Anolis sagrei: one gene and its partners. The protein of the gene in region 2 purifies or fractionates together with the protein of the main gene of each other region. This does not show direct contact. Links are inferred from orthologs where the notes say so. Each region holds a gene or a part of one and is shown on either strand. Other genes may lie near its edges.

Region 1 (7,078 bases), on a different chromosome or scaffold from region 2:
TGTGGACTCAAACAATGATGGATCTGGACCAAACTTAGCATGAATACACAATACGCCCAACGTGAACACTGGTGGAGTTTGGGGGAAATAGACCTTGACATTTGGGAATTATAGTTGCTGGGATTTATAGCAGTCTGAACCCTACCAACCAGAGAATTGGGCCAAAGGTCTCACATACTGCGTTTTCTGATGGTCTTTGGCAACCCCTCTGACACCCTGTCATGACCCCACCAGGGGTCCCGACCCCAGGTTGAGAAACGTTGTTCTAAAAGCATTCTCTCCTGACGTTTCACCTGCATCTATGACAAGCATCCTCAGAGCTTGTGCGGTCTGTTGGAACTAGGAAAATGGGGTTTATACTGTATAAATCCAAGGAACTACAGCTCCCAAATCACAAAATTAATCCCCTTTCCCAATCCTACCTGTATTCAAATTCGGACATATTGAATATTTGTGCCAAATCTGGTCCAGTGAACATCCTACATATCAGATATCAGATGCAAACATCCTACATATATTGTCGAAGGCTTTCATGGCTGGAATCACTAGGTTCTTGTGGGGTTTTTTTGGGCTATAGGGCCATGTTCTAGAGGCATTTCTCCTGACATTTCGCCTGCATCTATGGCAAGCATCCTCAGAGGTAGTGAGGTCTGTTGGAATTAGGACAATGGGTTTATATATCTGCGGAATGGCTGGGGTGGGGCAAAGAGCTCTTCTCTGCTGGAGCTAGGTGTGAATGTTTCAACTGACCACCTTCATTAGCATTTGAAGGCCTGGCTGAGCCTGGGAAAATCTTTTGTTGAGAGGTGTTAAGATGTGCCTGGTTGTTTCCTCCCTGCTGTTTTGCTGTTGTAATTTTAGAGTTTTTTAATACTGGTAGCCAGATTTTGTTCATTTTCATGGTTTTTTCCTTTCTGTTGAAATTGTCCACATGCTTGTGGATTTCAGTGCCTTCTCTGTGTAGTCTGACATGGTGGTTGTTGGTGTGGTCCAGCATTTCTGTGTTCTCAAATAATATGCTGTGTCCAGGCTCGTTCATCAGGTTCTCTGCTATGGCTGACTTCTCTGGTTGGAGTAGTCTGCAGTGCCTTTCATGTTCCTTGATGCGTGTCTGGGCGATGCTGCGTTTGGTGGTCCCTATGTAGACTTGTCCACAGCTGTATGGTACACGGTAAACTCCTGCAGAGGTGAGAGGATCCCTCTTGTCCTTTGCTGAACGTAGTATTTGTTGGATTTTCTTGGTGGGTTTGTAGATTGTTTGTATGTTGTGTTTCCTCATCAGCTTCCCTGTGCGGTCAGTGGTTCCCTTGATGTATGGCAGGAACACTTTTCCTCTGGGTGGATCTTCATCTTGACTCTCGTGGCTTGTTCTTGGTCTTGCAGCTCTTCTGATGTCTGAGGTGGAGTATCCATTGGCCTGGAGAGCCCAGTTGAGGTGGTTCAGTTCATCTTGGAGAAGGTGGGGTTCGCAGATTCTTTTTGCACGGTCTGCCAAGGCTTTGATGGTGCTTCTTTTTTGACTTGGGTGATGGTTGGAGTTTTTATGTAGATATCTATCTCTGTGTGTGGGTTTTCTGTAAACGGTGTGACCCAATTGTTGATCTGGTTTGCGGATGACTAGGACATCTAGGAAAGGCAGTCTTCCTTCATTTTCCTTTTCCATGGTGAATTGGATGTTTGGGTGGATGCTGTTAAGATGGTCCAGGAACCTGTTGAGTTCTTCTTCTCCATGGCTCCAAATGGTGAAGGTGTCATCTACATATCTGAACCGTATGGTGGGCTTTTTGGTTGCTGTCTCCAGGGCTTGTTCTTCAAAGTGTTCCATGTAGAAGTTAGCTATGACCGGGCTGAGAGGGCTCCCCATAGCTACTCCATCTTTCTGTTCGTAGAATTCATTGTCCGACTGAAAGTAACTGGTGGTAAGGCAATGGTGAAACAGATATACATATATATATTATGATTCATAACAGTAGCAAAATTACAGTTGTGAAGTAGCAAGGAAAATAATGTGATGGTTGGGGGTCACCACCACAAGGGGGACTGTCTATAGGGGTGGAGGCATTAGGGAGAGTGGAGAAGGAGGCGTTACCTCTTCTGGTTCATGGAGGCCACGGGGCTCCACTCGTGGAGGCTGGGGTTGTAGCAGTGGGCGGCGGCGATCTCCTGGCTGGCGGTGAGGCGGTACCCTCCGGCCAGGAAGAGGTAGTTGTCCAGCAGGGCGGCGCCATATCCGCGCACATTGCCCAGCGCGGCGGGGAGCGCCCCGGGAAGAGGTAGCCAGCGCCGGGCGCTTTCATCGTAGCGCAGCGCGGAGCAGAGCGAGGCCTCCTCGGGGTTCGGACTGGCGTGGCTTTGCCCGGCGAAGCGACCCAGGGCGATCAAAGCAGGAGTCGCTCCCGCCAGGCGCCTCTCCCGGAGCTGCTGCTGCAAGGCGCTGGGCAAAAGTTCCGCGCGGCGGAGTAGGGCGTGGAATCGGGCCGCCATGAAGGCCAGCGCCGCCTCTCTCAGCTCGCGCAGGCCGTAGTGCTGGGCCAGGCGGAGGAGGCGCAGGCAGTTGGGCAGGCGCAGCCCGGAGGCCAGCAGGCGCAGCAGCGGCGTGACTTGCAAGTAGCAGGCGGCTTCCACGAGCTCCTCCAGTGCCAGGGAGCCCTCCTCCTCGCCTTCTTCATCCTCCTCCTCGAGAGGCACCCGTCCGCAGTGGATGAAGTCGAGGACCAGCTCCAGGCCGCGCGCGCTCAGCCCTCCGCGCAGGCGCAGCCCCGCCGCCGCCGCCTCCCGCATCCCCGAGCGGAAGAGCGCCCCGAAGAAGTCGCTCTGCTCCAGAAGCAGGCGCTTCCTCGCCGGGAAGCGACGCTCGCCCAGGCGGATCTCCACCACCTCGTCCCCCGGAGCCTCACACAGCCCCGAGCCGGACATCATCTTTGCCGCCCGCCGGAAGGGGAGGGACCCGCACTTCCCCGGTGGAGAAAGGAAGACAGAAAGAAGCCCAAAGAAGGGCAACGCCGCTCCGCTCCTCCCCCGGGAAAGCGGGCTCTGCCCGGGCAGGACAACACCCGCCTCGTCCCCAGCTGCCCTGCTCAGCTCTGGCACTCCGCGCAGCCCTGGCCCCGTAATAGGAGGATTGCTGGGTCCGGAAGCTCCGAGCGCAACCGAGGGGACGCATCGCTTCTTTGGGAGCGCAATTTGCGCAAGAGAGACTTGGCTAATGCAAGCCAAGCCTGAGACAGATCATATAGAAGGCATGTAAGAGTTCTTTCATGGGGAAACCCTTTCCCTAACCCTGAACCGTACCCTAAGCCTAACCTCTTGTTGTTGTTCCTTCGTTCAGTCGCCTCCGACTCTTCGTGACCTCATGGACCAGCCCACGCCAGAGCTCCCTGTCCGCCGTCACCACCCCCAGCTCCTTCAAGGTCAGTCCAGACACTTCAAGGATGCCATCCATCCATCTTGCCCTTGGTCGGCCCCTCTTCCTTTCACTTTCTACTTTCCCCAGCATAATTGTCTTCTCTAGGCTTTGCTGTCTCCTCATGATGTGGCCAAAGACCTTCTCAACCTCTGAGGATGCTTGCCATAGATGCAGGTGAAACGTCAGGAGAAATGCCTCTAGAACATGGCTCTATAGCCCGAAAAAACCCACAAGAACCTACTTCAACTTTGTCTCTAGTATCCTTCCCTCCAGTGAGCAGCCGGGCTTTATTTCCTGGAGGATGGACTGGTTGGATCTTCTCGCAGTCCAAGGCACTCTCAGAACTTTCCTCCAACACCACAGCTCGAAAGCATTGATCTTCCTTCGCTCAGCCTTCCCTAAGGTCCAGCTCTCACATCCGTAGGTGACTACAGGGAATACCATGGCTTTGACTAGGCGGATCTTTGTTGCCAGTGTGATGTCTCTACTCTTTACTATTTTATCAAGATTGGTCATTGCTCTCCTCCCAAGAAGTAAGCGTCTTCTGATTTCCTGGCCACAGTCTGCATCTGCAGTAATCTTTGCGCCTAGAAATACAAAGTCTGTCACGGCCTCCACATTTTCTTCCTCTATTTTCCAGTTGTCAATCATTCTTGTTGCCATAATCTTGGTTTTTTTTTAATGTTTAGCTGCAACCCGGCTTTTGCGCTTTCTTCTTTCACCTTGATTAGAAGGCTCCTCAGCTCCTCCTCGCTTTCGGCCATCAGAGTGGTGTCATCTGCATATCTGAGGTTGTTAATGTTTCTTCCAGCAATTTTCACCCCAGCTTTGCATTCCTCAAGCCCCGCACATCGCATGATGTGTTCTGCATACAAGTTAAAAAGGTTGGGTGAGAGTATGCAGCCTTGCCGTACGCCTTTCCCAATCTTGAACCAGTCTGTTGTTCCATGGTCAGTTCTCCCAAACTCCCAAAATTCTGCCTTCTAGAACAGATAAAATCCCAACTATCGACCCCCTGGATTACACATCAGATTCAGTGGAGATCGCCAGCTGATCCTCTCTCTTCTTCCCAGCCAAGGGACAAGTGAGATCACTACAATGTATCTAAGACACCTTCTTATATCCAGGATGAAACTGTGGTTACAATCCCACCAACAAATATACATATTTGAGACTCTTTCTTTGTCTCTTGTCATGAAAAGATGTCTGGGACAGCAACATCCATTGTGTTTTCCAGCAGGATCCAGTATCTGCATAATTCTGTCAGATCGGCTTTTAGACTTCTTTCCATATTCCAACACCACCCACCCAGAGGTTGGCGCAGTCTCTGGAGGTCCTCCCTTCCCTGGATCACTTCCACCCGTCCATTGGAAGCCTCTGATTGGTCAGGAGGTGGGTCCAAGTGATTGAAAGAGGTGGTGATGACGAAACGGAGGATCTCCTTCCAGCTGACATGCACTGCCTTGGACCCGCCTCCCAACCAATCAGAGGCCTGGAGAATATCAGCCAGCTTCTCGGCACTGGCCAATCAGTAAAAGGGAGTATTTCAGAATGGGACAATGTTGGTGAATGGAAATTTATGTGTATAAAATTGCTTACAATTTTGCTTTTACACTTGTCCCATTTGCGCAATGTTCTTACCTCGTAGGCCGAAGTAGAAGCCTGGCATGTCAGTGAGGCAGGCCTCCATTTTGGGAGTGTAAGCCAGGGAAGCAGACATCTTGAGAGGGTAAAGTTAGAAGAGGGGGGGGGGGAGCTGGAGGTATCCTAGGATTGGCTAGAACAGATGGGAGGAGCCAAGTCTTGGGAGGGAAAAAGTGACAGCTTCTAAGAAAGAGAAGGAGACGGAATCTGGGAATTGAAGAGAGGAGAGGTACTTTTGAGCCTTGGGTTTTTGACAGAGAGCGTTTGTGGCAGGCAAGGCTGCATTATTGGCCAGAAGGGTGAAGTAGCCTCCTGATTGTTTGTGGGTGTTAGCACAAGTGGTTTGCTCTCTGGGTAGAGTAGATTAGCTGTAGAGAACTCTGATTAGAGTGTGCTAATTGCTCTTAAGACAGCCTGAGTGGGTTAGTCTGGGGAACTCACTGCTACTGCGTTATTGTAGAGTGAGGAATTTTGTCAGGAGATCAAGTCAAGTAACTTTCTTTTTTTAAAATATTTTTTATTGAAGTTTTCATAAAACATAAAAAACAAAAAAAAGAACAAGGAAAAAATAAACAAGAAGAAACGTTAGAAACTTTAAAAAAAACAGAGAAAAAGAAAAAAGATGAAAAAGTGAAACTAAAAGTTGACCTCCTGGTATCTTCGGAAAATCTTATCAGTCTTTTTATTTGTGTTCTTGTTTTTCTTCTTTCCCTCTTTTTGACGTAGTTCAATCTATTTTTGTACTTCTTAAATTACTATTTCTTTTTTCTTCTTTTTCAAGTATTCTGTAGCTTCACTCCAATCCGTTTCTTTCCTATTAATTTCTTTGTTTTTCAGCAATAGAAAGGTTAGCTTGTCTAAGTTCCTAATATCTAACATTTTTGTTTCCCAATCATTTATCTCTGGAATCTCTTCTTGTCTCCATACTTTGGCATAGCACATCCTTGCTGCTGTCAACGCCAAAAATAGTATTTTATCTTTATTTTCCTTCAGTTTTCTATCATACATCCCCAGCAGAAAGATCTCTGGCTTCAAGGGCAACTGTATTTTCTGCATAATTTGAATTTCCTTATGTATTCCCCTCCAAAATTTTCTCACTTTATCTCGCTTTATTCTAAAGGAACCATCAAGAATATTGTACCTTAGTAACAAGTTGAGCTTTTGTGCCTCATGAAAGAAGTCAGTTGTTTGTTTGTTCTTATCAATAAATCTTTTCTCTATTCAACTTTTAAAGAAGCCTCAATCGTTATTCGTTCCTGTGGGAATAATTCAAGTTTCTTCAACATCCTAATATCTCAGTCATTTGTGGGAGCTGAGGGAGAGCTGGGTTGGCGGGGAAAAGGGTTACCTCAGAGGATCAATTTCAATATCCTAAGACAGCTTAGGTGGTGGCAGAAAATCTCAAAAATAGAAGAAGATTGAAGCAATGTTCACTCTACCAGAGCACACACATTCCAGCAATATATATATATATAAAAGAAATCCCGTGTAAAGATTCTTTTATACTGGTGGACAGGCGGTGAGATTAATCACAAGGCAGCCCTTAATTCCCTTGTATTGGTGGCAACTGCGGGGTTATTCTATAATAGTGTATAACAAGCCTGCTTATTTTCTGTTATATTGGTGTTACTCATGAATTTTAACTGGTTAACCAAATCCCCATGCTAAGTCTATGAGATGCAAAAAATTAAGAGTCCCTCCAGAACTGCAAGCACTATCTCAAGCAAATATTGACAATTTATTCACACTGTCATTACTTGCAGCAATAGCCGATGTAGTGAAGCAACCAAGTTGGGCGTGTGTGTGTTGAATGTTCTCATTAAGGAGGCCAGACTTGGTGGAGGTGGTTGACAGGGGCAGAGCTGCAGGCTATTGAAGGTTGCTCTGCCCCCTGCTGTGCTCTTTGCTTCAACGTGAGCTAGGAGGCAGGTTTCAACCCCCCCCCCCCCGCAAAATTTTCAACCCCGGCTACGGCCCTGGTGTCGACTAATATAATCTAGTTAAAAGCAGATAATGTGGATTATCTGC
Region 2 (8,060 bases):
CAAACTACAGGAAAGGAGATTCCACCTGAACATGAGGAAGAACCTCCTCATTGCGAGAGCTGTTCAGCAGTGGAACTCTTTGCCCCAGTATGGTGGAAGCTCCTTCTTTGGAGGCTTTTAAGCAGAGGTTGGATGGTCATTTGTCGTGGGTGCTTTGAATGTGATTTATAAAGCCATTGTTCTCCCAACCTTGCTATAATGCCTGCGAAACGTGGACTGTCTACAGACTTCACACACAACTCCTGTAACAATTCCATCAGCGTTGCCTCCAAAACAATCCTGCAAATCTCTTGGGAAGACAGGCGGACAAATATAAATGTGCTGGTAGAAGCAAAGACCACCATCAGTGAAGCTATGGTTCTCCGCCATCAACTCCGCTGGACTGGCCATGTTGTCCGAATGCCCGATCACCATCTCCCAAAGCAGTTACTCTACTCCCAATTCAAGAACGGAAAACATAATGTTGATGGGCTGGAAAAGAGATTTAAAGATGGGCTTAAAACTATGGCATAGACACCGAGAATTAGGAAGCCCTGGCCATTGGGTGCTCTAACTGGAAGTCAGCTGTGACCAGCAATGCTGCAGAATTCAAAGAGGCACAAATGGAGGAAGAAACATGCCAAGAGGAAGGCGCGTCAAGCCAACCCTGACAGAAACCGCCTTCCACCTGGAAACCAATGTCCTTAACTGCGGGAGAACATGCGGATCAAGAATAAGGCTCAACAGCCACCTACGAACCCACTGCCAAGGCACCACATCTGAAAGACCATCATCCTCAAACTACGAGGGATCGCCTAAGTAAGAATGTGATTTTCCTGCTTCTTGTCAAGGGGTTTCTTCCAACTGTATGATTCTATCTGCAACGTGGTCTTTCAACCTCACCAATATATTTATTTATATATTTAGTATATTTGTATACCACCGCTTTGAGCCTTCCGGCGACTCGAGGCAGTTTACAAGGCAAAATTCAATGCCACCAAGAACACAATTACAATATAAAATGTCAACATCAATAAAATCATAACACTATAATAAAACATAATTCAATAAATACTTATTAACACAATGTCCAGCCCCGTCATGTAGTTGTTAGGAAAAATTAGGAAAGCCCCTACCCTAGAAACTTTTAAAAAGAACCTCAAAACCTGGCTCTTCTGTTGCGCCTTTGGTGAATAGGTATTCAATCCCACATTATCATTCATTTGCAATGTTCTGTCACTGGAGAATACATTCCCCCCCTCATGGGAAAGCTTGATTCCACAACTCCCACTATAATGAGCCCTCCTCCACAAATAATTTGTTTCTCTTTTATCTCACCCGAGTTTTTAACCAGTTTTAATTAGTTCTTCTTTTAACCATTACATATAGCCCGCCCATTGTCACTGTGTTTGTGTTTACTGTAATTTTATATTGTTGTATATTAATATGTTTTATGTAATTATGATGTTGCAGTTTATTGTTTGCATTTTCGGTTTGCGTTCGGTTGTTCTTTACTGTAATTGTTGTTTGGGCTTGGCCTCATGTAAGCCACTCCAAGTCTCCACTGGGGAGATGGTGGCGGGGTACAAATAAATATTATTATTATTATTCCATTCTTATGTCCGCATCTCTGTTTATGAACCCACGTGCTCACTTCATTCATCCGGAGAGGCCCTGCTCGTGATCCCGCCTGCGTTGCAGGCGCATTTGGTGGGGACGCGAGACAGGGCCTTTTCTGTGGTGGCCCCCCGACTTTGGAACACCCTCCCCAAAGATCTTAGACAGGCCCCTACGTTGGCAGTCTTTAGAAAGAACCTGAAGACCTGGCTGTTCCGATGTGCCTTTCCAGAATAGGAAAACTCCAACAACAAGTCCCAGAAAGCACTTTATTAGAAATTAAAATTGCTGGCACACTGCACTACCCTATAATCCTTACATATCACCTGTCACATCAGCACTTTTAATCTGTACCCATTACTCTGGCCCGGCCCAGTTTTATTGTGTCCCGGTGTATTGTTTTATTGCATGTTGTTTAATATTGCTTTAACTGTTTTAAATTTGCTTTAGGTTGTGTATTGTTATGTTGTGTTTTGAGGCCTTGGCCTTTGTAAGCCGCATCGAGTCTTTTGGGAGATGCTAGCGGGGTACAAATAAAGTTAATAATAATAATAATAATGTCTGTTACTCAGTATTCGCAAATGCCTGCTTAAATAGCCATGTCTTAAGATTCTTCCGAAATGCTAGGAGCAAAGAAGCCAATCTGATCTCCTTGGAAGGGCGTTCCATAGCTGAGGGGCCACCACTGAGGAGGCTCTGTCTCTCATCCCCGCCAGCCGTGCTTGTGATGATGGCGGGACCGAGCGCAGGGCCTCTCCTTTGGACGATCTTAAAGTCCTCGAAGGTTCATAAGGGGAGATTTGTTTGGACAGGCAAGTTGGGCCAGAACCATTTTGTAATGAGTATCGTCTTTTGTAATGAGTGACGCCTTCTCATGATAAGTCATGGCAGTCTGATTTCAATTATGTCAGCGTCTAGGAATAGTTCAGGCTTTAGATTATGAGTCTGCAGCAGGCACGGGCCAACTTAGGCCCTGCAGGGGTTTTGGACTCCAACTCCCACCATTCCTCACAGCCTCAGGCCCCTTCCTTTTCCCCCTCAGCCGCTAGTGAGGGGGAAAAGGAAGGGGCCTGAGGCTGTGAGGAATGGTGGGAGTTGGAGTCCAAAACCCTTGCAAGGCCCAAGCTGCCCCATGCCTGCTCTAAAGCCTCCCCAAACACCACCTCCCAGGGTGCTGGGCCCAGAACTCACTCCTTGGTCCAGGGCTTGGCGGCCAGGATCTCCTGCTGCTGCTTGCGGTCGTACTTGTAGATCTCGTCGATGCTCTGCGCCTCCTGCATGTTGTTCGCCAGTTCCCAAGTCTTCTGGGCCATCCCGCTGCTGCCCGAGGGCCCCGCTGCTGCCGCCGCCGCCGCCATAAGGCCCGCTCTCCACTGACAGGCAGGCAGCCGGACCGAGCCTGCCTGCCGGCCTGTTTTCCGCCAGCCCAGTGCTACTACGGAAGCCGGTGGGTGTCGCTCTTCGCGGAAGGGTTCCGTCCGCGCTGTGCGGCACGCCCCTAGTTCGCGCGCCCCCTAGCGGTCAACAACGGCGTGACCCTCCCGCCTGGAATCGGCTTTGTCTTGCCAACCTTTTTTTGGCGTCATTTCCGCCTGGCGTTACGGCGCATGCGCTGTCGGGGGAAAAGGCGCGTCATGCCGCAAGGCCTCCTGGGAGACACAAGCTTTGAACTTAGAAGCTTGGGCTAAAAGCAGATTCGTAAGCACCGGGAGGAAGTCATGAACTTCTCATCTGCATTGGGTTGCTGTGAATATTCCGGGCTGTGTGGCCATATTCCAGAAGCATTCTCTCCTGACGTTTCTCCCACATCTCAGAGGTTGTGAGGTCTGTTGGAAACTAGGCAAGTGGGGTTTATATCTGTGGAATGTCTGAGGTGGGACAAAGAACTCTTGACTACTTGAGGCAAGTGGGAATATTGCAGCTGGCCAGCTTGACTAACATTGAATAGTCTTGCAGCTTTAAAGCCTGGCTGCTTCCTGCCTGGGGGAATAGGTTGGTAAAGGTAGTCCCCTGACATTAAGTCCAGTCATGTCTGACTCTGGGGTGTGGTGCTCATCTCCATTTCTAAGCCAAAGAGCCAGCGTTGTCCATAGACACCTCCAAGGTCATGTGGCCGGCATGACTGCATGGAGCGCCGTTACCTTCCCGTCGGAGCAGTACCTATTGATCTACTTACATTTGCATGTTTTCGAACTGCTAGGTTGGCAGAAGCTAGGGCTGACAGCAGAAGCTCACGTTGTTCCCCGGAATCGAACCTGCGACCTTTCGATCAACAACCTCAGCAGCTCAGTGCTTTAACCGACTGCGCCACCGGGGGGAATAATAATAATAATAATAATAAACAACTTTATTTAATACCCCACCACCATCTCCCCAATGGGGACTCAGGGAGGCTTAAATGAGGCCAAGCCCAACAGCATATTACAATAAAGTAAAACCAAAACACAGTGACAACACAGAAAAATTCATACAACATATGAGTACAAAAACAATAACCAAAATCATACACAGTAAAATAAAATAACATAACAATGAGTAGGCCGCATGTGCAAGATAAAAACTAAAATACTTGTTGGGATTTCTTGCATCCTGAACATCCCACGATTATATAAACTTAGCTTGATTAACATTGAATAGCCTTGCATCTTTAAAGTCTGGCTGCTTCCTGCCGGGGAGAATCCTTTGTTGGGATTTCTCCCATCCTGGACATTCCATGGTTATATAAACTCAGCTTTATTAACATTGAATAGCCTTGCATCTTTAAAGTCTGGCTGCTTCCTGTCTGGGAGAATCCTTTGTTGGGATTTCTTCCATCCTGGAGATTCCACGGTTATAAAAACTCAGCTCGATTAACATTGAATAGCCTTGCAGCCTTAAAGTCTGGCTGCTTCCTACCTGGGGGAATCCTTTGTTGGGATTTCTCCCATCCTGGACATTCCACGGTTATATAGAATCATAGAATCCTAGAGTTGGAAGAGACCTCATGGGCCATCCAGTCCAACCCCCTGCCAAGAAGCAGGAATATTGCATTCAAATCACCTCTGACAGATGGCCACCCAGCCTCTGTTTACAAGCTTCCAAAGAAGGAGCCTCCACTACACTCCGGGGCAGACTCAGCTTCATTAACATTAAATAGCCTTGCAGCTTTAAAGTCTGGCTGCTTCCTATCTGGGGGACTCCTTTGTTGGGATTTCTCCCATCCTGGACATTCTACAGTTATATAAACTCAGCTTGTTTAACATTGAATAGCCTTACAGCTGCTTCTTACCTGGGAGAATCCTTTGTTGGGATTTCTCCCATCCTGGACATCCCACGGTTATATAAACTCAGCTTGATTAACATTGAATAGCCGTGCAGTCTCGCTTCTTCCTGCCTGGGGGAATCCCTTGTTGAGATTTATCCCATTCTGGACATTCCACAGTTATATAAACTCAGCTCGATTAACATTGAATAGCCTTGCAGCTTTAAAGTCTGGCTGCTTCCTACCTGGGGGAATCCTTTGTTGGGATTTCTCCCATTCTGGACATTCCATGGTTATATAAAGTCAGCTCGATTAACATTGAATAGCCTTGCAGCTTTAAAGTCTGGCTGCTTCCTGCCTTGGGGAATCCTTTGTTGGGATTTCTCCCATCCTAGACATTCCATAGCAAACCAGTTAAGGTATATTGTCAAAGGGATTATGGGTCAGAGTGATTTAGAATGGTTAGAAGAGGGAGTGAAGACATAGATATAAATCCAGAATATATTTTCTTCATAGGGAAAATCAGGAATTTGGGGAAGAAATGGTATAACAAAATAGAGAACGCTGTTAAGTATATATATATATTTGAAATATGGTCTAAGTATGAAGAAAAATTAATACCGCCGATCTCCCCATTAACTCCAGTGTTGATTACAAATAATTTTCCTATAAATCTCAAAAAGGAGTTAGAAAGAGAATTAAAAGAAAAAGGAATAATGAAATTAAAAGACTGGGAACCAAAGATGAAAAATATAGAGGAGATAAAGGACCAATTATCAGGATGAAGTATTGGGTGGTATAAAGCTCTACAATTGGAAAGATGGTTAAGGGGAATAAGAAAGAAATATAAAGGAGATTGAGAACTTACTAAATTTGAAGAAATGATTAGCCAAAGAGGGAGTAAGGAAGAAAAAGGAAGAACAAAAAGGTGTAACAAGCGATATCTATAAAATATTGTTGGAAGGAGTCCAGGAGCAGGACCACCGTAAAGGAATGTGGGAATCGGATTGTATTAAAGTAATATACCCTCAAAATTGGAAAGGAATATGGCATATTAAAATCTGTCAATAAGAATAAAAGAGAATTATTACAAAGTGGTGTGGAGATGGCATCTCACACCAGTCAGATTAAATCAAATCCATAAGAAATACTCTAAGCAGTGCTGGAGGGGCTGGCAAGAAACTGGTACATATATACACATGTGGTGGTCTTGTAAATATGTTAAATTTTTTTGGAAAAATGGATTTCAAGAAACAAGAATCACCCAAATAGAGATAACAGGAATGCCGGAAATAGCACTGCTATCATTTATTACTTCAGAGCTTGATGAGCATGCCCACCCCCAATTAATATATAGAATATTTCCTGTGCTTCTGTTTGTTAATTACTTTATTGAGTTTCTTTCAAGCAATGTAAAGTGCATCAAAGATATTTTTTTTCAGTATCTTTGCTCACTACTAAGAAGCCACCCATGTCCATAGAGGTGCTTTTCATGGGTGATATCCTTTTAGCTCTCATTTCTTTTAAAACACACACAGAACTAGTTGTTGGAGTTCTTACTCAAATGGATAAGCATATCCCTATATAAGTATATATGTCTAAATTAAAAGTCTATTAACTCCAGTAAATGAGAATTGTAATTTGGGGAGGCCACACTCTTGGCCCAAGAAGGCTAAAGACCTTGTAAAACTACAACTCCTGGGATGCCATTGCCTTGAGACGTGGCAGTACACGTGGTCCACAAGAATGAAAACATTGTTGCCTCGAAACTACGTGGCAATGAGAGCGACTGATCTCGCAAAACCCTGTGACTGGTCTTGTGAAACCTTCTTATAGTGCCAAGGCAACAGGGATATCGAGAGGGGAGTGGTTGACTACCCACAAATGATTACTACTACCACATCAGCTCTAGATTCAGTATGGTTTTCTGTGGGAAAGCAGATGGCGACTTCTGGATGGCATATGTTCCGTATCAGAAACTAGAGCTGATGTGGTTTAAAAGGTAAAGGTTTCCCCTGACATTAAGTCTAGTTGTGTTGGACTCTGGGGGGTGGTCCTCATCTCCATTTCTAAGTCGAAGAGCCAGCATTGTTCATCAGCAACACTTAGGTCATGTGGCCAGCATAACTGCATGGAGCGTGTTACCTTCCCGCAGAAGCGGTAATAATAATAATAATAACACTGATATTCTGCCCTATCTCCCCAAGGGGACTCAGGGTGGATCACAGTAAACATACATGGCAAGCATTGAGTGCCGTTTGCGATAGACAGGACAGAGCCCGACAGATACAACAGAACAGTATGTTGTGTCAACATCCAGCTTTTTGGAGGTTGTGCTCAAGTCCAGCTAAATAGAGGTGCTGTTGCTCCATCCTCTATGACGAAGAGCCATCAGGACTTCCTCCTTCCTTTTGGTCGCCGGGCATTTTCTGATTTTTTTATGATGTTGTAAAATACCTCCCTCACTTGTTTTAGCGGTACCCAATTTCTCTATTACAGCTCAAGCTGTTTTCAAACTGCTTAGGTCAACAGTAAGCTGGGCTGACAGTCGGGAGCTCACTACGACATGGGGCTTCGAACTGGCAACCTTTTGGTTGGTAGATCTTATCACTGCTGGTGATTTACCAGTTGTGACAAAGACTGATCTACCTATTGATCTACTCATATTTGCATGTTTTCAAACTGCTAGGTTGGCAGAAGCTGGACCTAACGGCGAGAGCTCACGCTACTCCCCAGATTTGAACAGCCAACCTTTTGATTAGCAAGTTCAGCAGCTCAGCGGTTTAACCTGCCGCACCACCGGGCCCCCAGATGTGGTCTACCCAATGCAATTTTCTGAATCAGCACCCCAAATAACCAAACTAAATCTAAAGTTGACCAAAAACTGATTGATTATTATTATTTATTTATTTACTGTGCTTATAGGCCGCTGTTCTCAGCCCAGGGGCGACTCACAGCGGTGTACAACATGTAGAGAATAAGGTGCAAATTACAAGACATAATCTAACAACAAACTAGCAATATCAAAACATCGTCATCAACAACATCAACAATCTCAATATCAATAATACAAAAATACAAAAAAGTCATTCGCGTCGTCTCATCGTTAAGCCACAATCCAATATCGTTTTCCGTTGTTCCATTCCTGTTGTCATTGCCAATTATTGCACTTCTTGTTCGAACGCCTTCTCGAACAGCCACGTCTTTAGTTTCTTGCAGAATG
Region 3 (7,161 bases), on a different chromosome or scaffold from region 2:
GACACACACACAATGATATAACATGTGCGTGAGTATATGTAAACACATACACAGTACAGATAATATACATAAACACATAACACACCCACAAATAAATAACACACACAAAGTACAGGTCCATGTGGCACATGCAAACACATATACATGCATAGACACGCACACACACAAGTATGTAATGTGTGTGTGTGTGTGTGATTATATATACAGGCAGTCTCTGAGTTACAGGCACCTGACTTACATCCGATTCCAAGTTACAAAGGCAGAGACTGAGACAACAGGAGAAATCTGCCCCTCGATAGGAAGAGAAAGTCCTGAAAGTGTTATTATCATGGGGAAAAGAGGCCTCCACTGAAGCTTTATCATCAATCCTTGTTTCCACAACAAGCTGCCTTTGTCAAAATCCCATTACCACAGGGGCATAAAGTGCGACGAAATATTCTGAACACAGACAGCAAAGGAAACCTCTTAGGGGTTTATGCTATCCAAAGCTAACAAAATGTTTGTTTTAGCTAAAGTTACACATAAAAAGTCCCTGTTCTGACTTACACACAAATTCAACTTAAGAACAAACCTGCAGAACTGATCTTCTTTGTAACTTGGGAACTGCATGTATATATATGTGTGTGTGCGTCTGTATTTATGTATGTACGATATGTGTATTTATACATATTTATATATGTGCTTTTTATGTATGTGTATCTGCATATGTGTAATATATGTGTGTATAAATACACATATATAAGTGTGCATTTATGTATGTATATGTATTTTCAAAGGCTTTCATGGCTAGAATCACTGGGTTGCTGTAGGTTTTTCCGGGCTATATGGCTATGTTCTAGAGGCATTCTCTCCTGATGTTTCGCCTGCATCTATGGCAAGCATCCTCAGAGGTAGTGAGGTCTGTTGGAACTAGGAAAATTGGGTTTATATATCTGTGGAATGATCAGGGTGGGACAAAGAACTCTTGTCTGCTAGAGCTAGGTGTGAATGTTTCAACTGACCACCTTGATTAGCATTTGATGGCCTGGCGGTAGTCTGCAGTGCCTTTCATGTTCCTTGATTTGTGCTTGGGCGATGCTGCGTTTGGTGGTCCCTATGTAGACTTGTCCACAGCTGCATGGTATACAGTAGACTCCTGCAGAAGGGAGAGGATCCCTCTTGTCCTTTGCTGAACGTAGCATTTGTTGGATTTTCTTGGTGGGTCTGTAGATAGTTTGTATATTGTGTTTCCTCATCACTTTCCCTATGCGGTCAGTGGTTCCCTGTGGACAAGTCTACATAGGGACTACCAAACGCAGCATTGCCCAAACACGAATCAAGGAACATGAAAGACACTGCAGACTACTTCAACCAGAGAAGTTAGCCATAGCAGAGCACCTGATGAACCAACCTGGACACAGCATATTATTTGAGAACACAGAAATGCTGGACCACTCTAACAACCGCCATGTCAGACTACACAGAGAAGCCATTGAAATCCACAAGCATGTGGAAAATTCCAACAGAAAGGAGGAAGCCATGAAAATGGAACAAAATCTGGCTACCAGTATTAAAAAACTCTAAAATCACAACAGCAAAACATCAGAGAGGAAACAATCTGGGACATCTAATCACCTCTCAACAAAAGATTGCCCCAGGCACTGCCAAGCCATCAAATGTTAATCAAGGTGGTCAGTTGAAACATTCACACCTGGCTCCAGCAGACAAGAGTCCTTTGTCCCACCCTGGTCATTCCACAGATATATAAAACCTTTTTCCTAGATCCAACAGACCTCACTACCTCTGAGGATGCTTGCCATAGATGCAGGCGAAACATCAGGAGAGAATGCCTTTAGAACATGGCCATATAGCCCGAAAAAACCTAAAACGGCCCAATAAGGAACAGCTAATCACCTCTCAACCAAAGATTCCCCCAGGCACTAACAAACCACACCAAAAAAAACTGCCAGGCCATCAAATGCTGATCAAGGTGGTCAGTTGAAACATTCACACCTGGCTCCAGCAAACAAGAGTCCTTTGTCCCGCCCTGGTCATTCCACAGAAATATAAACCCAATTTTTCTAGTTCCAACAGACCTCACAACCTCTGAGGATGCCTGCCATAGATGCAGGCGAAACATCAGGAGAGAATGCCTCTAGAACATGATCATATAGCCTGAAAAAACCTACAATAACCTATGCATGTATATGTGTGTGTGCATAAGTGTATGTATCTGTGTGTGTTTATATATGTATACAGTATATGTGAGTGTGTACCTCTGTGTAATATGTGTGTACTTGTGTATATATCTATAGATAGATATGTGTGTGTATGTCTATATGTATAAAAACACACAAATTCATTCAGAGCACACATGCAGACATGACAACATAAACAAATACATGTATATATGTCTATATTTCCTTCCCTCCCTGCCCCTTCCTTCCTTCCTTCCTTCCTTCCTTCCTTCATCCTTTCCTTCTTCTTCCTCCCTTCCTTTTTTCCACACATCTTCCTTCCTTCTTTCTTCTTTCCTTCCCTCTTCCTTCTTCCTTCTTTCCCCCTTCCTATCTTCCTCCCTCCCTTCTTCTTTCCTTGCCTGTGTGCAGGGAGGCGTTGGGCGCCCCTCCGTCCTTTCCCGACTACGAAGTGGACGTCGCTGAGCACCTCGTTGTTGAAGAGGAAGGCCATGCGCTCCAGGACCGTGGGCTTGGTGGCCTGCCAGTTGTAGGCCGAGGGCGGAGGCGAGGAAGGCGGCGGGGAAGGTGGCGACGAGGAAGACGACGGCGCCGAGGCCGCGGGAGGAGGAGGCGAGGAGGAGGAGGCGACCCCCTGGATGCGCGGGTTGCCTCCGCCCCGGTTCTGCGCAGCACCAGGCCCCGGAGCCTCGGGCCTCGCGTGAGGGGGCGCTCCGCCCAGGTTGGAGCAGGGCGGGAGAGGCGGAGGAGGCGGCGCCGAGGAGGAGAAAGGCAGGCCCCCTTCGCCGCCGACTCCTTCCTCCAGGGGCCCGGCTCCGGCCGCCATTTTTCGGCGCCGAGGAGGAGGAGGAGCCCAAGGGACCGAGAAGGGGAGGAGGAGGAAACAGCACGGGCTTCCGCTGCGGCCCATGGAAGAAGGAAGGGAGGGAGGAAAATGGAGGGAGAGAGGAGGGAAGGCGCCGCCTGAGGGAAAGGAGGCGCAATGGCCGCCTGCCGAATGAGGCCTATGCGAGGAAGGCTTCCATACCTAGCTGAAGGGAAGGTTCTCGATGGAGGCCTACTTGAGGAAGGCTTCAAGGCCTGGCTGAGGGGAAGGTTTAGAATGGAGGCCTACCTGAGGAGACTTTGAATTGTGACCTACCTGAGGAGGCTTCCAAGGCCTGTCTGAGGGGAAGGTTTACATTGGAGGCCTACCTTAGGAAGGCTTCGAGGCCTACCTGATAGGAAGGTTTTAAATAGAGACCTACCCAAGGAGGGCATCAAGGCCTATCTGAGGGGAAAGTTGTCCTCCTGGATTCATCACTTACGTTTGAAAGCTCAGGTGTCGGCAGTGGCCGGGAGGGCTTTCGCACAATTAAGACTTGTGCGCCAACTGCGACCGTACTTCGCGAAGGCTGATCTGGCCGGGGTGGTCCATGCCTTGGTCACCTCTAGATTGGGGAAAGTGGAAGGCAAAAGGAAGAGGGGCCGACCAAGGGCAAGATGGATGGATGCCATCCTTGAAGTGACTGGACTGACCTTGATGGAGCTGGGAGTGGTGACGGCCGACAGGGAGCTCTGACGTGGGCTGGTCCATGAGGTCACGAAGAGTCGGAGACGACTGAATGAATGAACAACAATGCGCTCTAAGTGGGGCTGCCCTTGAAAACGGCCCGGAAATTTCAACTGGTCCAACGGGCAGCGGCCAGGATGTTAACTGGTACCCCTTATAAAGAGAGGTCAACCCTCCTGTTCAAGGACCTCCACTGGCTGCCGTTTATTTTCCGAGCCCAATTAAATGTGCATGTGCTTATCTACAAAGCCCTGAACGGTTTGGGACCATCCTACCTGCGTGACTGCATCTCCGTTTACAAACCCACACGTTCACTACATTCATCTGGAGAGGCCCTGCTCGTGATCCCGCCTGAGTCGCAAGCACGTTTGGTGGGGGTCACGAGACAGGGCCTTTTCTGTGGTGGCCCCCCGACTCTGGAACACCCTCCCCAAAGATCTTAGACAGGCTCCTACATTGGCAATCTTTAGAAAGAACTTGAAGACCTGGCTGTTCCGATGTGCCTTCCCAGAATAGGAAATTTCCAATACCAAGTCCCAGAAGCACTTTATTAGAACTAAGATTGCCACACACTGCACACTGCACTTTCCCTATAAGCCTTATATAAAAAAAAATCATCCAGGCGTCCCCTGGGCAACGTCCTTGCAGACAGCCAATTCTCTCACAACAGGAGCGGTTGCTCCTGACACACAAAAAAAATAATCCTTATATACCACCTGTCACATCAGCACTTTTAATTCTGTACCCATTACTCTGGCCCGGCCCAGTTTTATTGTGTTTTGGTGTATTGTTTATTGCTTGTTGTTTTGTTGTTTAATATTGTTTTAATTGTTTTTAATTTGCTTTAGGTTTTGTATTGTTATGCTGTGTATTGAGGCCTTGGCCTTCATAAGCTGCATCGAGTCCTTCGGGAGATGCTAGCAGGGTACAAATAAAGTTAATAATAAGTTTTAGAATAGAGGCCTACACGAGGAGACTTTAAATTGTGGCCTACCTGAGGAGGCTTCCAAGGCCTGTCTTAGGGGAAGGTTTACAATGGAGGCCTACCTTAGGAAGGCTTCAAGGCCTAGCTGATAGGAAGGTTTTAAATAGAGACCTACCCAAGGAGGGCATCAAAGCCTTTTGTTGTTGTTCATTCGTTCAGTCGTCTCTGACTCTTCGTCACCTCATGGACCAGCCCACGCCAGAGCTCCCTGTCGGCCATCACCACCCCCAGCTACTTCAAGGTCAGCCCAGTCACTTCAAGGATGCCATCCATCCATCTTGCCCTTGGTCGGCCCCTCTTCCTTTTGCCTTCCACTTTCCCCAGCATAATTGTCTTCTCTAGGCTTTGCTGTCTCCTCATGATGTGGCCAAAGGACTTCAACTTTGTCTCTAGTATCCTTCCCTCCAATGAGCAGCCGGGCTTTATTTCCTGGAGGATGGACTGGTTGGATCTTCTCACAGTCCAAGGCACTCTCAGCACTTTCCTCCAGCACCACAGCTCAAAAGCATCTATTTTCCGACTAAGGAGGAGAAAATCCTTTCCTTTTAAATCCCTTTACTGTCCCCACTCTTTCCAGGAACCTACATAGATTCTCTTTTTGTAATTAGCTGTGGCTCTTCTGTGACTCTTTAAGAAAACTTGTGCAGTGCTTTGCATTACAGGTTTCAGACAAACTTCACAGTAACATTGTTTATTTATAGCTTCTTGTACAAATGCTTATTGGTTACATTTATATCACTGTTTCTTAGTTGCACATAACTTGGTTTCATTACAGTTTTCTTTTCATAACAGTCTACTTCAAAGGTACTCAAACATCAACATTTTGCTAGCTTCCTACTCTGGCTTCTGCACTCAAACTGACTCAAGCCTCAACTGCCATTTGCCAACTTATTTTTATTTATTTATGTATTTTTCGTGTCAGAGCAACCAGTGCATTATATTACATTTCTAACAGAACAAAGCAAACAAACAGACAAATAGAAAACTTGTGAGTTTGGTAGTTGGTTAAATGTCCTTTGACCAGTATCTGGCCACTTGGAGTGCTCCGGTGTTGCTGCAAGAAGGTCCTCCGTTGTGCATGTGGCAGGGCTCAGGTTGCATTGCAGCAGGTGGTCAGTGGTTTGCTCTTCTCCACACTCGCATGTCGAGGATTCCACTTTGTAGCCCCATTTCTGAAGGTTGGCTCTGCATCTCGTGGTGCCAGAGTGCAGTCTGTTCAGTGCCTTCCAAGTTGCCCAGTCTTCTGTGTGCCCAGGAGGGAGTCTTATTTGGTATCAGCCATTGGTTGAGGTGCTGAGTTTGAGCCTGCCACTTTTGGACTCTCGCTTGCTGAGGTGTTCCAGCGAGTCTCTCTGTAGATCTTAGAAGACTATGTCTAGATTTAAGTCGTTGACGTGCTGGCCGATACCCAAACGGGATGAGCTGGAGATGTCTCAGCCTTGGTCCTTTCACTATTGGCTGCTACTTCCCGGCGGATGTCAGGTGGTGCAATATTGGCTAAGCAGTGTAATTTCTCCAGTGGTGTAGGGCGCAGACACCCCGTGATAATGCAGCATGTCTCATTCAGAGCCACATCCACTGTTTTAGTGTGGTGAGATGTGTTCCACACTGGGCATGCATACTCAGCAGCAGAGTAGCATAGCGCAAGGGCAGATGTCTTCACTGTATCTGGTTGTGATCCCCAGGTTGTGCCAGTCAGCTTTCGTATGATATTGTTTCTGGCACCCACTTTTTGCTTGATATTTAAAAAGTGCTTCTTGTAGGTCAGAGCACGATCCAGAGTGACTCCCAGGTATTTGGGTGCGCTGCAATGCTCCAGTGGGATTCCTTCCCAGGTGATCTTCAGAGCTCGGGATGCTTGTCTGTTCTTGAGATGAAAGGCACATGTCTGTGTTTTAGATGGGTTGGGGATCAGCTGGTTTTCCCTGTAATAGGCAGTAAGAGCACCTAGAGCTTCGGAGAGCTTCTGTTCTACTGTCTCAAAGTTCCCTGCTTGAGCAGTAATTTCCCAACTGTCAACTTTTAAATTCCTGTTCCAGCTTCTGCACCTACTCGTTTGCATAGGACCAATCGGAACCCTTTATGCAAATTAACTCTTCTCCTTCTGTTACTGCCCTCTAAGAATAACATAATGGCTGTTCTTGCATCAACTCTTCAATGTAGGCCCTATTACAACACTGACATATATATTAAAACTTTAACCTATAACAAACATTTCGCTACACCTCCCCTCAAAGAAGGCCTCCATATTGAATCTCATTTTTTTTTAAAAAAAAACAACTCTTCAGCTAAACTACCATTTTAAAGATCCCCCCTTTCAAAACCATAAAAGCCTCAATTTTTGAACCCACTTTCAATGTATAAAAGCCATCCAAACCTCCATTTAAAGGCCCACCTTTTTTCAACCCGCAAAACAGCCCCATTTTAAAGCCCAATGTAAAAGTGCC

The links. Proteins that work in one complex are often made in the same cells at the same time.
Region 1: the proteins of COPS5 (region 2) and KLHL42 purify together in Homo sapiens (affinity purification with mass spectrometry; 3 studies listed by BioGRID and IntAct, with this or other methods). This does not show direct contact. The link is inferred for Anolis sagrei from reciprocal best matches to the Homo sapiens genes COPS5 and KLHL42.
Region 3: the proteins of COPS5 (region 2) and BTBD2 purify together in Homo sapiens (affinity purification with mass spectrometry; 4 studies listed by BioGRID and IntAct, counting the BioPlex papers as one, with this or other methods). This does not show direct contact. The link is inferred for Anolis sagrei from reciprocal best matches to the Homo sapiens genes COPS5 and BTBD2.

What each region holds. Positions count from the first base shown.
Region 1 is NC_090025.1:102,406,202-102,413,279, reverse strand, and holds the start of KLHL42 (kelch-like protein 42), read right to left. Parts: upstream 3,103-7,078; 5' UTR 2,920-3,102; coding exon 2,090-2,919; intron 1-2,089. UniProt on the Homo sapiens protein: Substrate-specific adapter of a BCR (BTB-CUL3-RBX1) E3 ubiquitin-protein ligase complex required for mitotic progression and cytokinesis. The BCR(KLHL42) E3 ubiquitin ligase complex mediates the ubiquitination and subsequent degradation of KATNA1.
Region 2 is NC_090024.1:45,218,111-45,226,170, reverse strand, and holds the start of COPS5 (COP9 signalosome complex subunit 5), read right to left. Parts: upstream 3,068-8,060; 5' UTR 2,955-3,067; coding exon 2,788-2,954; intron 1-2,787. UniProt on the Homo sapiens protein: Probable protease subunit of the COP9 signalosome complex (CSN), a complex involved in various cellular and developmental processes.
Region 3 is NC_090034.1:52,728,352-52,735,512, reverse strand, and holds the start of BTBD2 (BTB/POZ domain-containing protein 2), read right to left. Parts: upstream 3,103-7,161; 5' UTR 3,088-3,102; coding exon 2,579-3,087; intron 1-2,578.